3 linked regions of the Macaca fascicularis genome follow. The protein of the gene in region 3 purifies or fractionates together with the protein of the main gene of each other region. This does not show direct contact. Links are inferred from orthologs where the notes say so. Each region holds a gene or a part of one and is shown on either strand. Other genes may lie near its edges.

Region 1 (4,264 bases), on a different chromosome or scaffold from region 3:
ACAGGCGCTCGTCACCACTCTTGGCTTATTTATTTATTTATTTATTTATTTATTTATTGAGACGGAGTCTCGCTCTGTAGCCCATCTGGGCCCACTGCAACCTCCGCCTCCCGCCTCCCAGGTTCACACCATTCTCCTGCCTCAGCCTCTGGAGTAGGTGGGACTACAGGCCCCCGCCACCATGCCTGGCTAATTTTTTTTTTTTTTTTGTATTTTTAGTAGAGACAGGGTTTCACCGTGTTAGCCAGTATGGTCTGGATCTCCTGACCTCGTGATCTGCCCGCCTCGGCTTCCCAAAGTGCTGGGATTACAGCCATGAGCCACCGCGCCCGGCCGTTTTTATTTTTATTTTTATTTGTATTTTTAGTGGAGCCGGAGCCTCATCGTGTTGGCCAGGCTTGTTTCAAACTCCTGACCTCAAGTCGGGAGTCAGGAGGTCAGGTGATCCGCCTGCCTCATCCTTCCAAAACGCTGGGATTACAGGCGTGAGCCACCACCACGCCTGGCCAGAGTTCCTAATTTTTGCCAATCTAGTGGGTGTGGCTTAAAAACCAGTCAATTGAAACTAATCATGGTTTTAATGCATTTCCCTGATTTGTAATGCGCTTGCTCACCTTACATGTTTGTTGCCTCTCTGGATTTTGTCATTTCCAAAGCACCTGTTCAGTAATTTTATCCATTTTTCGATTGGGTTGTCTGTTTACATCCTATATATTCTGGATAATTGCCTTTGTCAATCATATGTGTAACAAATTTCTCCCACTCTGTGGCTTTTTTCTCTCTTATGATGTATTTTTTTTTCCCACTTTTCAGTCGTAAGATGATATCACTTTTAAGTTCAGTCATATACTTGGCATTTTGGGTTCATCATGGAGTTTGTTCATCACGGAGTTTTGAAGGTCAGATTATTTTTGTCCTAACCCAGTCAAATCAATTGCTTCTCGTTAGTTTTTTCTATCATATATTCCCATCCATAGGTCCTGAAGATATTCTAGAACGTTATTTCCTACAAGTTCCGGGTTTCCTGCTCGCATTCCGGTCTCTAAGCCGCCGTGTATGTGGCTGGAAGGATCGCTCCATGACCACGTACGCTGGCGACGCCTCTTCCGGCTTACCTCAGGGGCGGGTATGGCGGACCTGTTCTTTTATCAGAAAGATCTATATTTTGCTAATAAAGGAACGTTTTGTGTCCAATAAGGTTTTCGTCATTACGAGTGAAAACGCCACCTTAAGCTTATTTCGCCTGTGAATATTTAAGGGAAAAAAAAAACACCCCGGCAACCAACTGCCAGGCGACGGAGGCTAAACCGCTCCTCCCCACTGAGGCCAGCACCCACCTTTTCCCGAAGTCGCAACACGCAGGCGCGCCCGGCTCGCACGCCACGAACGGAAGTGCGCCTGCGCCAGGATACGCCCCGCCCAGCCACTGCCCGACTATAAAGTGTCGAGCTTCTCCTCGCGAGAGACTTCGTGCTCATGCTCGCTGCAGGGGTCGGAGGTCAGGGCGAGCGTCTAGCGGGCCGTAGGAGGAAGATGGCGGTGGAGTCGCGCGTTACCCAGGAGGAAATTAAGAAGGAGCCAGAGAAGCCAATCGACCGCGAGAAGGTGAAGGTCCCCTCCGCTTTGGGGTCCGGGAAGAGATTGGGGGTGGGCCCGGCAGGGTGCAGAGGCGCGGCCTGTGTGCGGGAGGAGACGGTGTTTTTGGTATCCGGACGGCTCGGAGGCCGCAACGCCTCGGGAAGAGAGGTGAGGTCCGGGCTCGCAGCTGGTGTCTTTAACTTCTGCCGTTCCGTTTTTCTCTCGCCCTCAGACATGCCCACTGTTGCTGCGGGTCTTCACCACCAATAACGGCCGCCACCACCGAATGGACGAGTTCTCCCGGGGAAATGTACCGTCCAGCGAGTTGCAGATCTACACTTGGTGAGGAGGGCGGGGGCGGGCTCGGACCCGGGCCGGGAACCTGGAACAACAGTTAATTGCCTTTGCCAGTGTAGAGAGTTATTCTCCTTGATTTAAATTTCATTCCTCCACTTGGGGTCTTCAGGCTCAACTTTCGGGAAGTTAGAAGTTTTTGTTGTTAGGTGAAAGGAGATTTGCCTTTATTGTAACGCTTTTGTGATTAATGTTGCAACTTTTGGGCGGTTAAGAATGCACAGACCCAAGATTTAGCACTGTTATGGCTGCTAGGTACAAAAGTGATAGGTAGATGATTAAGTTGTAGTATCCGCCCTAAAGGGACTCATGGTCAAATAAATTGCACTAGGACAGCATGGTAAGGGAGAGTGATGCTGTCGAGTGGTGTTTGTTATTCTCAAAGAGCATTTCCACGTAATATTAAGCCTTAGGTACCAAAGCACCAAAAGTGAAAAATAAACTACCAAAACCCGAGTTATTATCTAAGGGTTGATGGAAGAGCTTTTGGTGTGTGTTTAGTGAAGATGGTTCCTGAGTGTTCATCTCTTGGGTGTATCTCCCTACAAACTACTGCCGGCTTGTCTTTAGCGCTGCACATAACTCCTTGGATTGACACCATAATGGGTTTTTAATATAAGTAAAAGGTGTGTAACTGAAAAATATATGTATATGCTATATATATATGTGTGTGTGTGTATATATATATATATTTTCAGACGGAGTCTTGCTCTCGCCCAGGCTGGAGTGCAGTGGCGCCATCTCCGCTCACTGCAGGCTCCGCCTCCCGTGTTCACGCCATTCTCCTGCCTCAGCCTCCCCAGTAGGTGGGATTACAGGTGCCCACCACCACGCCTGGCTAATTTTTGTATTTTTAGTAGAGATGAGGTTTCACCATATTGACCAGGCTGGTCTCGAACTCCTGAACTCAGGTTGTCTGCCTGCCTCGGCCTCCCAAAGTGCTGGGATTACAGGTGTGTGAGCTACCGCGCCTGGCTTAAAATAAATTTTTTATTGCGATAAAAAGTTATATAACAAGCCATGCACGGTGGCTCATGCCTGCAATCCCAGCACTTTGGGAAACTGAGGCTGGCGGATCACTTTAGGTCAGGAGTTTGAGACCAGTCTGGTCGGCATAATGAAACCCTGTGTCTACTAAAAATGCAAAAATTAGCCTTGTGTGGTGGCATAGAATTGTAATCGCAGCTACTTGGGAGACTGAGGCAGGAGGATCACTTGAACTTGGGAAGTGGAGGTTGCAGTGAGCTGAGGTCGCGCCACTGTACTCCAGCCTGGGCGACAGAGCGAGATTCCGTCTCAAAATACATATGTGTGTGCATATGTAACAAAATTTGCCATGTTAACCATTTCTTATTTCTTGAGTCTCACTCTGTCGCCCAGGCTGGAGTGCAGTGGCGCCCATCTCGGCTCACTGCAACCTCTGCCTCCCGGGTTCAAGGGATTCTCATGCCTCAGCCTCCCCAGTAGTTGGGATTACAGGCGCCCACCGCCACACCTGGCTAATTTTTGTATTTCTAGTAGAGACAGGGTTTCACCATGTTGGCCAGGCTGGTCTGGAACTCCTGACTTCAAGCGATCCGCCCGCCTCGGCCTCCCAAAGTGGTGTAGGATTACAGGCGTGAGCCAGCGTGCATGGTCATTAACTGTTTTTAAGTGTATAATTTGTTGGCATTAATAGCATTCAAATTGTTGTGCAACCACTATTTCTACAAGTTTTTATCCCTCCCTCCAACAGAAAGCCTGTACGCCATCCTGCCTTGTTTTAATTTTTAAAGAGATGGAGTCTTGCACTGTTTTCCAAGCTGGATTTGAGCTCCTTGGCTCAACCAGCTGGGACTACAGGCACACACCACCATGCCCAGTGTGCTGGTAACCTTTTAAGGACACACCGTGCCTATTAAAAAATAATTTCCCATTCCTCCCCCGCCCCATCCCCTGGTAGCTTCTAATGTATTATCTGTCTATATATGAATTTGTCTATTCTGGATATTTCATTTCAGTGAACTCGTTACAGTGTTTGTCATTTTGTGACTGGCTTATTTCATGGTGTTTTCGGGGTTGATGTTGTAGCATCCATTCAGCCTTGTCAAGACTGAATAATATTTCATTGTATGTGTGCATCACATGTACTCATCTATTGATGGACACTTGGATTGTTTCATCTTTTTTGCCATTGTGAATAATGCTGCTGTGAACATTGGCATACAAATGTGTTTGTGTCCCTGCTTTCAGTTATTTTGGGTATGTACCTAGGAGTGGATTACTGGGTCATATGTTAATTTTGTTTAAGTTTTGAGGAACCATCAAACTTTTTCACAGCAGTTGCACTATT
Region 2 (4,211 bases), on a different chromosome or scaffold from region 3:
GAGCACACAGTCAATCCCTCCACAAATAATCAAAGGGCAACGACTACCTAACAGGCACAGCAGTGAACAAAACCCGGCCGGGGGCGGTGGTTCACGCCTGTAAAGTAATCCCAGCACTTTGGGAGGCCAAGGCGAACCTAGGAGCGAGCACTTTTGGAGCGAGCCTGAAAGCCTAGGAGCGGATCACGAGGTCAGAAGTTCGCGACCAGTCTGGCCAACATAGTGAAACCCAGTCTCTAATAAAAATACAAAAAATTAGCCGAGTGTAGTAGTGTGTGCCTGTAATCCCAGCTACTCGGGAGGCGGAGGCAGGAGAACCGCTTGAACCCGGGAGGCGGAGGTTGCAGTGAGCCGAGATCGCACCGCTGCACTTCAGCCTGGGCAACAGTGCGAGACTCTGTCAAAAAAAAAAAATTCCGCCGCGTCAGTGTGGGGCGTTGACGCGGAGCCTCCTGCCTGGGCCCCTACAGCGTCACCCCCTCCTCTGTGCCTGCCAGAGGCGCCACCTCTGGACTCTCCCAGAGTCGGACCCTGGTCGACAGTGTTCCCTGCTCGGACCCTGCACCGGCCGTTAGATGAAGCCTCGGCGCTGCGCCGTTCACACGCTCCGTGCTGCCTCCACTGAGAATTTGGCGCGGGCCTGCGAGCCTGTGCCCCGGCCTCCCTTCCCTGCTTCCAGCGAACCTCGGCGTCTGCTGTTCCCCCGCCGGGCGCGCCCTTCCACTCTAGTCTCAGCGGCAGTGTCACCTGCCCGGAGACGCCCCCCGTTGCACCCCATCTCCCATCCTCAAGCTCGTTGCTCTTCCTGCCCGCACAGCCCGCCTGCAGCGCCCACCCTGGAGGTCCGCCTGCGCGGAGGCCGCGTCCACGAGAGCACCCCAAACGCCACCAGTGGGTTTTGACCGCAGGAACGCAAGTCCTGCCCCAGCCCGTCTCTCCGAGCTACTTCCGCCCTGCAGGCCCCCACGCCCCGCCACGCAAGGCCGCAAAGGCTGCGCACCCCTCCTGTGCGACCACCCTGCCGCCCTCAGCACAGCCGGGCCTGGAGCCCCGCCTCCACCGCCGGCGACAGGGGCCAGAATCGGCCCGGGCGGGTCCAGGGAGCCCGCGCAAGGAAAGGGGCGGGGCACGGCCGCGATAACACCCTCCGCTCCGGACGACGAGCATCGGTTATCGCGCGGCCCTCCCAGGCTCAGCAGGCTACCCATGTGCTCGCTCCAGCAAGCGTGCAGCCAGTCCGGTCAGTCCCAGGGACTTTACCGGCGAGGAGACACCCTGAACGTCCCCAACGCGGCTACCACAAACTGCCTTGACTGTCTAACACTTCCCCGCCGGCGCCCATTGGGCCAGGCGTTTACGTCATCGCTACGCGCCGGACGGCGGCGTCTTCCCGCTCCTTGACTCTGACGTCAGAGCGGCGCCGGCCTCGGAGGCTGAGGAAAGCAGGAGGAGGTGGTGGCGGCGGGAAGATGTAAGTTGGGGCGGAATCCGACCGCATCCGTGTTTCGGGGGCTGCCCGTCAGGCCCGGCAGGACGCATCGTGAAGCCGGTCCACTTCTCAGCCCCGCAGTGCGGCGGTGGCCTGGCAGCGCGGTGCGGGCTCCGAGAAGAAAGAGTGTGGCCCGGGGCGGGCGGAGTGGGAGGTGTCGAGGCCGTGGCCCGGAAGTGATCGGGGCCGCCGCGGACGGAAGGGCGCCTCTGCTTCGTCCGCTCGGCGGTGGCCCAGCCAGGCCCGCGGGACTCGGAGCAGCGGTGAGCGCGGCCTCCGTTCTTGGGGCCCTCCCGCCGGGCCGGAGACCCAAGCCCCCAACGCCAGGCGCTGCCCTGGAAGCGCTTGCGGCCCGGCGCCTGGACGGGGAAGTTGTGAGTGAACGCGGACGGGGAGCGGCGAGGTCGGCGTGTCGGGCCGGTGCCGGCGGGCGCGGAGTTTCTTTGTGGGATGCGGTGGAAGGTCGGCCGATCCATCCTTCGGAGTCATTAATTCAAACGTGTACTCCGCGAACGTTTCCCGGACTCCCGTGTGCAATTGTCGGCGCTAGGCCGTGGGGATACGGCCCACTATGGACCGAACACGGTGTCCGAGCTCAGTTTGATGGGTTATCCCAGAGGGGTGGATACGGGAAGGTTAAGGTTGATGGAGGAGAAACGTGGAGTAGGCTTTTTGTCTTGATTTCTCATGAACTGTGCCTGAAATGTACTCTTAAATGGGGAAGGTGCTCTGAAGATTTATGCCGAAACGCCCTCTCCTCGAGATTTAACTAATTGTTCTCTCCTCTCTCTGGCTGTTGGACGCGCACCTTTCCGGAGGATGGGGGAGGTAACCGAGGTCCTGAGCCGGTACCTGAACTTGGGTGAACAGAGAACCTCAACTTTTGCTTTCTAGCACTCGACCGCACCCAGCGAGCCGTCCGCTTACTCAGTGGTTCTTAGTGTTTGGACTGCTTGAGAATAACTGGTGGTGTTTGATTCCACAAAGTACATTTGGGCAGATCTTTAAGTCTGGGGGGGTGGGGCTGAAATCTGCGGGTGTGACCTCCACTCTAGGTCTGTGCTGTCCAGTGAAGTAGCCATTGGCCACATGTGGCTACTAAGCATGTGAAATACAGCTCATCAAAACTGAAATGTTAAAACACATACCAGTTTTAGAAGACTATGAAAAAAAAGTAAACTTTTATTAGTAGATTTTTATGTTGATTATATGTTGGAAAGATAATATTTTGGATGTGTCAAGTGTTAAAAATTTCACCCATTTTTGTGATGTGGCTACTAAGGAATTTCAGGTGATGCTTGTGGCTCCTCACACTGTTTCTATTGGACATTTCTGCTGCAGGTGATCCTAAGGCAGATGAGTGCAGGAACCCTGCTGAGAGTTCAGAAATTACGTGTGACTTTGGAGACAAATGTCTGGGGGAGGGAGGAGCCTTTACAAATCTTGCTCCTAACATTATTGAGCTTTTCATTAATGCCCTGGGTAACTATAAAGTTGGAATTGTAATTGTCACCATATTGATAAGAAACTTGAGAAAGGTTAAGTGACTTGTCGAAAATTACACCGTAAAACCTCAAATCAAACCCAGGCCCTCTGGTTGCAGACTCTGAATTATACTCTGAATGATACTCACTGACTGTCCGAGGACACCAACAGTGTCGAGGCACTATCTGCTGGGTGTCTGCAGAACCTTACTATTCTAAAGCAAAACATGATACCCCCGGACAAGAGCAGCAGAGGTGGTGTTCGGCCCTCCTTGGCTCATTTGACTGTTTAAAGCCAGGTGCTTTTCTTTCTTGGGTCAGAACACGTTTTCAGCAGCATTTTGAAGCACCCCTGGCAGGTACTGCACAGGGAAACCAGGACCCCATTGGTGTGCTGTGTCCTCCTTACCAACTGGCTCTTGGAGAAGGTGAGACAGAAGTAGCTGAGACTCACATCCTGAGAGCTGCACTTAACAACTCCTGCAGCTTGTGCAGAACTTTACTGGAAATACTGAAGGCGTCCCTGGAAAATAGGGCCCATAACTAATTAGTTTGCTTTTGAGTAATGAGTAACCGCTATTTGAACACATTCTGCAGTCCAGGCATTTTGCTAAACTCTTACATGGCAGGCAGTCTCTCATGCAATTTCAGTGCCTACTTTTTTTTCATCTTATTTTTGAAAAATTTTTAAAGCACAGGAACGTCAAATTATACAATTAATACCCACATAAAGACTACTTAAGGGCCAGGTCTGGTGGCTCACGCCTGTAATCCCAGCACTTTGGGAGGCCAAGGTTGGCAGATGACAAGGTCAGGAGTTGGAGACCAGCCTGGTCAATATGGTGAAACCCTGTCTCTACTAAAAATACAAAAATTAGCCAGGCTTGATGGCAAGCACCTGTAGTCCCAGCTACTCAGGAGGCTGACGCAGAAGAAACGCTTGAACCCAGGAGGTGGAGGTTGCAGTGAGCCAAGATCGTGCCACTGCACTCCAGCCTGGGTGACAGAGCAAGTCTCCATCTCAAAAAAAAACAAAACAAAACTCAGAGGTTAAGAGTCTGTAAGTTATATTTCTGCTGTATTTGCTAGATGGTTTTTATCAATCTTAGTTTTTCTTTCAATCTTAGTTTTTCTCAATCTTAGTTTTTCTTTCAAAGTAAATTGCAGACTTGCATGTATTTTCCCCTACACTCAATATGCATATTATTAAAGTACAGTGCAATTACTGCTTTTTAAAA
Region 3 (4,281 bases):
ACATTATAAAGAGGGGATTTTCAAAAACTGAAAGAAACTTTAAGAGACTGTGCAGCCTTATAATTTTTGGATTTTAACTGTGGAATAATTTAAAAGACATCTTATGCAGAAACTCAATAGTCAAAGCGGATAAAAGTAGATCTAATCTAGTTTAAGAGAGAAGTATGAGCCTTGCTTACTTGAGAAAAAGGTATTTATTTCCCCTAAGAAGCTCCCCAAAGCAGCTCCACAAAACCCCGAGAGCAGTTATAAACCCATGGGTTTAGTTTGACTTTTTCTCATATTACAGATAAGGAAATGGAGGAAACCAAGGCCTCCAAAGGTTAAGTTTCTTATCCTAAGTAAAGGAACTATTAGTAATGCTTATGAATAAGTGCATTGAGTTAGTAGTTAACACTAGTAATGGTGGGTGACTTACACAGGATTGAATCCTTGGTAAATCTACATCAACAAGAGTTCTTAATTAGCAACTATTTTCCTACACTGTCACATTGGTGGTCTACTTCATATCTATACTCAAAGACATCAACTACCTTTCCTAAATTCATGGCAGATAAATGACTTCAGATCTCTGTACTACACGTAATTAATGGAAGCCACACCTTTCTGCACATACCATTTCAATTATTATAAACTAATAGCGCCTTTGATTCTGTTCTTTACTCCAGGCCCTTGTATACAACTGGGTGATTCGAATTCAACTGTCCTGGTTTGAGAACATTTCTGACCAAGGGAACTTAGGAAAATAGTCGTGAGGAATTAAGCATGAAATATACAACACCACGTCCTGCCATGTGTCTGTATATCCAAAGAGCCCACTCCATTGAATAAACCTTTCTCACCTGGGAATTTGGCTGGAATGCAGCATGGGGTGTTGAGTGTTTCTGTAAATTTTCTAGCATTAGAGCCTGGTATAGAGAAGGGTAAAAGTCAGAAATGATGAGGAAAAAAAAAGAAAAACTCCCACCTCTACCACAACCTCTTAATTAAATGCAATGACTTAAATACACACAATTAAACTGTATTCCCCTTCCAGGGACCTGAAAATCCTTTACTGACACTGTTCTCATTCATCACCAGAAGACCCTTAAAGGTAGCCACGGTTACTGTTACTAAACGTACAGATATAAAATGCAGGCACACAGAATCAGTGACCTGGCTATGTCACAATATCAGTAATAGAACCAGTACTAAAATCCCTGTTGTCTTCTGCACTTGTGCCAAGTGCCCCTTCTAAATCTGATCATGCAGGTAAAACTACTTAAAAATACTCAAACCAGCAGCCATGGGGCTCCTGGTTTTTGCCTGATGGAATTACTTGGTCAAAGGGTTACCCAGGACTAGAGTCAATTTGTATAATTTCCAGTACTGTGGCACCTAGATTTACCAAATTTACAAAATTTTCAAAGAGGAGGCTACAGAAGAAAATGACCAGAGACCCTGTGAACTGTGGTCTAACCTAGTCCGTCCATCCACACACACACACACACACAATCAGCTTCTGTATAAGCAACGGTCTGCCAACTCAACCCTGGAGCCAACCCAGACCTAATCTGCACTACCTGCCACGTATCCTATTGAACTCTAATTAAAACCAAGACATCCTCATCTTCCCTTCTTTAAACCAAACCTATACACTCGAATCGATCTACACCTACCTCATGACATTCCCACCTTAATCTACTTAAACTGATTCAAAATCCCCAATATGTATCAACCTGCCTCGCCTCTCTCACCAATATTCACCAAACTCTTAACTACCCAAATTGCCACTAGATGCCCTATAAATTAGACACCTCTCTCATCAAGTCCCTTCACATAAAGGTCTCTCTTCATCTCACCTCATCTAATCGAGCAGACATTTTACCCTACCCCAATCCTATTCCTGCAGATACCGATACCAACCCCATCCACCCCTCCGCGCAACTATACCCCTAACTCCGACCCAGCCCAACTCGCCCCCCTCAGGCCAGCGACGCCGTAGGTTGTAGTGGGATTTAACTCCTTCTGCAGCGCATGCGCCGAAACCACAGATACAAACAAGGAGGGGGTGGGGGAAGGAGGAAGGAGCTTAAGACACTCCTGGAGAGTAGTGCACACCCTCCCATTTGGGCTCGCGCTGCTGCCGTTAAGGCGGGAACCGGCGCGATCGCCATTCCAGCGCGAACCTCACCAACCACCGTGCGCGCGGATCCAGAGGCTCGCGCTGGCGGCCTGAGCGAGCTCGCGCCGAGCCCGGATACTGCGCCTGCGCCGCGGCAGAGGCTCGTCTCTACCGGGTCCGCTCTCCTCCGACACCCCAGCAACGCCGACTCCTCACCCCTTTGAGCCGCTTGACCAGGGCACTCTTCTGCCCGCTCTTGGCTAGGCCTCGCTGCTCCAGTGCGGCCTTCAGGTCGGTCACCCGCAGCGCCTGAAGAGGCTTCCCGTCCAGAGTCACCTCCTCCAGCTCCGCCATCTTGCGTGAGGTACTCGGGTCCGTCCCGACGGCTTCGGGCATCTTCGGTAATTTCCGCCAACGCCCTTCGAACGTACCGAGATGACCCCGCCCACTGCCATACTCTACCCCTCGATTACCACTCAGAACTCCCCGGCTTCCTCCGGATGTCCTCGGATATTTCCGTCTCCACATCGGCACCAATCAATTCTTTCCATCCGCCCTGCAGCTCCCCTATTCTCGCCCTGCTTTCAGGCTCGGTTTTCTTCGTCTTGCCGAAGCTTTGAATCGAATATATTCGGAAGCCCTCGACTCTGGTATAACCATAATCGGAGATGTTCGTTTATCTCCGGACCTAGAGATGAGGCGCTGGGGCTCTTGGGTGTTTGGGGCGGGTCCGAGGCCGGAAGTGCGTGGGCTGCCGGGCTGGCCCAGCTTAGGGTTTTCAGGAAATTTGGAAGCTGCAGCGGTAGTTGGAGTCTAAGGACTCCTGACAATCTTCGGGTGCTCTCCGAGAGAAAAGGGGAGGTAAGCGGGGTGGAAGTACCTCTATGGGCCGGGTCAGACTCGGTGTTTGCGGACTATCCTAATAGGGCAAGCCACCTACTTCTTAACGCAAACAGCTTCTGCCCTCTGTCCTCTGAATCCCAGCCACTCCCATCTTAGGCTTTTTTTTTGGTGGGGCCTGTGGAGGGGGGCGGAATCGGAATAACAAGCTCCGTGGCCTCCAAAGTGGGGAAGAGGCAGGCAGCGCCGTGTCTTCAGACCCAGACTATGAACTGATTTATGACGCTCAACTTGAGTTTGAGTTTGCGTTTGCCTGGGAAGCCGTGTGGCAAGAAAATTCTCCATTTCTCCGAAGAAGAGAGTAAGTTCCCTTGGAGGAACTGCTTCCTGTAGGGCAAGAACTGAAAAATGCAAGCGCCCTGAACTTTTTTGGTACTTGAACTCATATTGTTTAGGGGCTTCTTTCTTTGTCACTAGCAATCCTCCAACTTGATGCAGAAGAAACACAAACAGTAAAATAGGTCACAGACAAATGGTTTAGAGATTTAAGAGATATGTTAGAGATTTAAGAGACTGAAAACTATTGAAGTCAAATAGGCTGATCTTTCCGTTGCATTCATGATGCAAAATTAATGTCAAGGCGCCGGGCGCGGTGGCTCATGCCTATAAGCACTTTGGGAGGCCGAGGCAGGCGGATCACTTGAGGTCAGGAATTGGAGACCAATCTGGCCAATATGGTGAAACCCCGTCTCTAGTAAAAATACAAACAAATTAGCCGGGCGTACGCCTATATTCCCAGCTGCTCGGGAGGCTGAGGCAGGAGAATTGCTTGAACCCGGGAAGCGGAGGTTGAAGTGAGCTGAGATCACGCCATTGCACTCCAGCCTGGGCGACAGAGCAAGACTCCGTCTCAAAAATAAATAAATAAATAAATAAATAAATAAATAAATAAATAGCAAGGCACCAATAGATGCCATACTAAAAAAAAAAAATTTTTTTTTGTCACTCCACTCTGGGTCATTCCACTCTGAACCAGGCTAGAGTGCAGTGGTGTGATCAGGGCTCACTACAGCCTCAACCTCCCGGGCTCAGGTGATCCTCCTACCTCAGCCTCCTAAGTAGCTAGGACTACAGTTAGGCACCTCTACGCCCAACGAGTTTTTAAATTTTTTGTAGAGATGAGGTTTTGCCATGTTGCCCAGGCTGGTCTTGAACAACTGGATTCAAGCTATCCTCTTGCCTCGGCCTCCCAAAGTGCTGAGATTACTTTGGAAGTGCAAGAGCCACTGTGTCTGGCCCATACTAAATATTAAGGGCAATTGTTTAAAAACATGGAT

Evidence for each region. The genes of interacting proteins can lie anywhere in the genome.
Region 1: the proteins of ACIN1 (region 3) and SAP18 fractionate together in Homo sapiens (co-fractionation; 7 studies listed by BioGRID and IntAct, with this or other methods). This does not show direct contact. The link is inferred for Macaca fascicularis from reciprocal best matches to the Homo sapiens genes ACIN1 and SAP18.
Region 2: the proteins of ACIN1 (region 3) and RNPS1 purify together in Homo sapiens (affinity purification with mass spectrometry; 6 studies listed by BioGRID and IntAct, with this or other methods). This does not show direct contact. The link is inferred for Macaca fascicularis from reciprocal best matches to the Homo sapiens genes ACIN1 and RNPS1.

Annotation. Positions count from the first base shown.
Region 1 is NC_088391.1:793,861-798,124, reverse strand, and holds the start of SAP18 (histone deacetylase complex subunit SAP18), read left to right. Parts: upstream 1-1,464; 5' UTR 1,465-1,476; coding exon 1,477-1,605; intron 1,606-1,810; coding exon 1,811-1,920; intron 1,921-4,264. UniProt on the Homo sapiens protein: Component of the SIN3-repressing complex. Enhances the ability of SIN3-HDAC1-mediated transcriptional repression. When tethered to the promoter, it can direct the formation of a repressive complex to core histone proteins.
Region 2 is NC_088394.1:3,040,702-3,044,912, reverse strand, and holds the start of RNPS1 (RNA-binding protein with serine-rich domain 1), read left to right. Parts: upstream 1-1,411; 5' UTR 1,412-1,469; coding exon of another isoform or gene 1,470-1,471; 5' UTR 1,472-2,663; exon of another isoform or gene 2,664-3,401; intron 3,402-4,211. UniProt on the Homo sapiens protein: Part of pre- and post-splicing multiprotein mRNP complexes. Auxiliary component of the splicing-dependent multiprotein exon junction complex (EJC) deposited at splice junction on mRNAs.
Region 3 is NC_088381.1:90,850,437-90,854,717, forward strand, and holds the start of ACIN1 (apoptotic chromatin condensation inducer in the nucleus), read right to left. Parts: upstream 2,801-4,281; 5' UTR 2,633-2,800; coding exon 2,321-2,632; intron 909-2,320; coding exon 843-908; intron 1-842.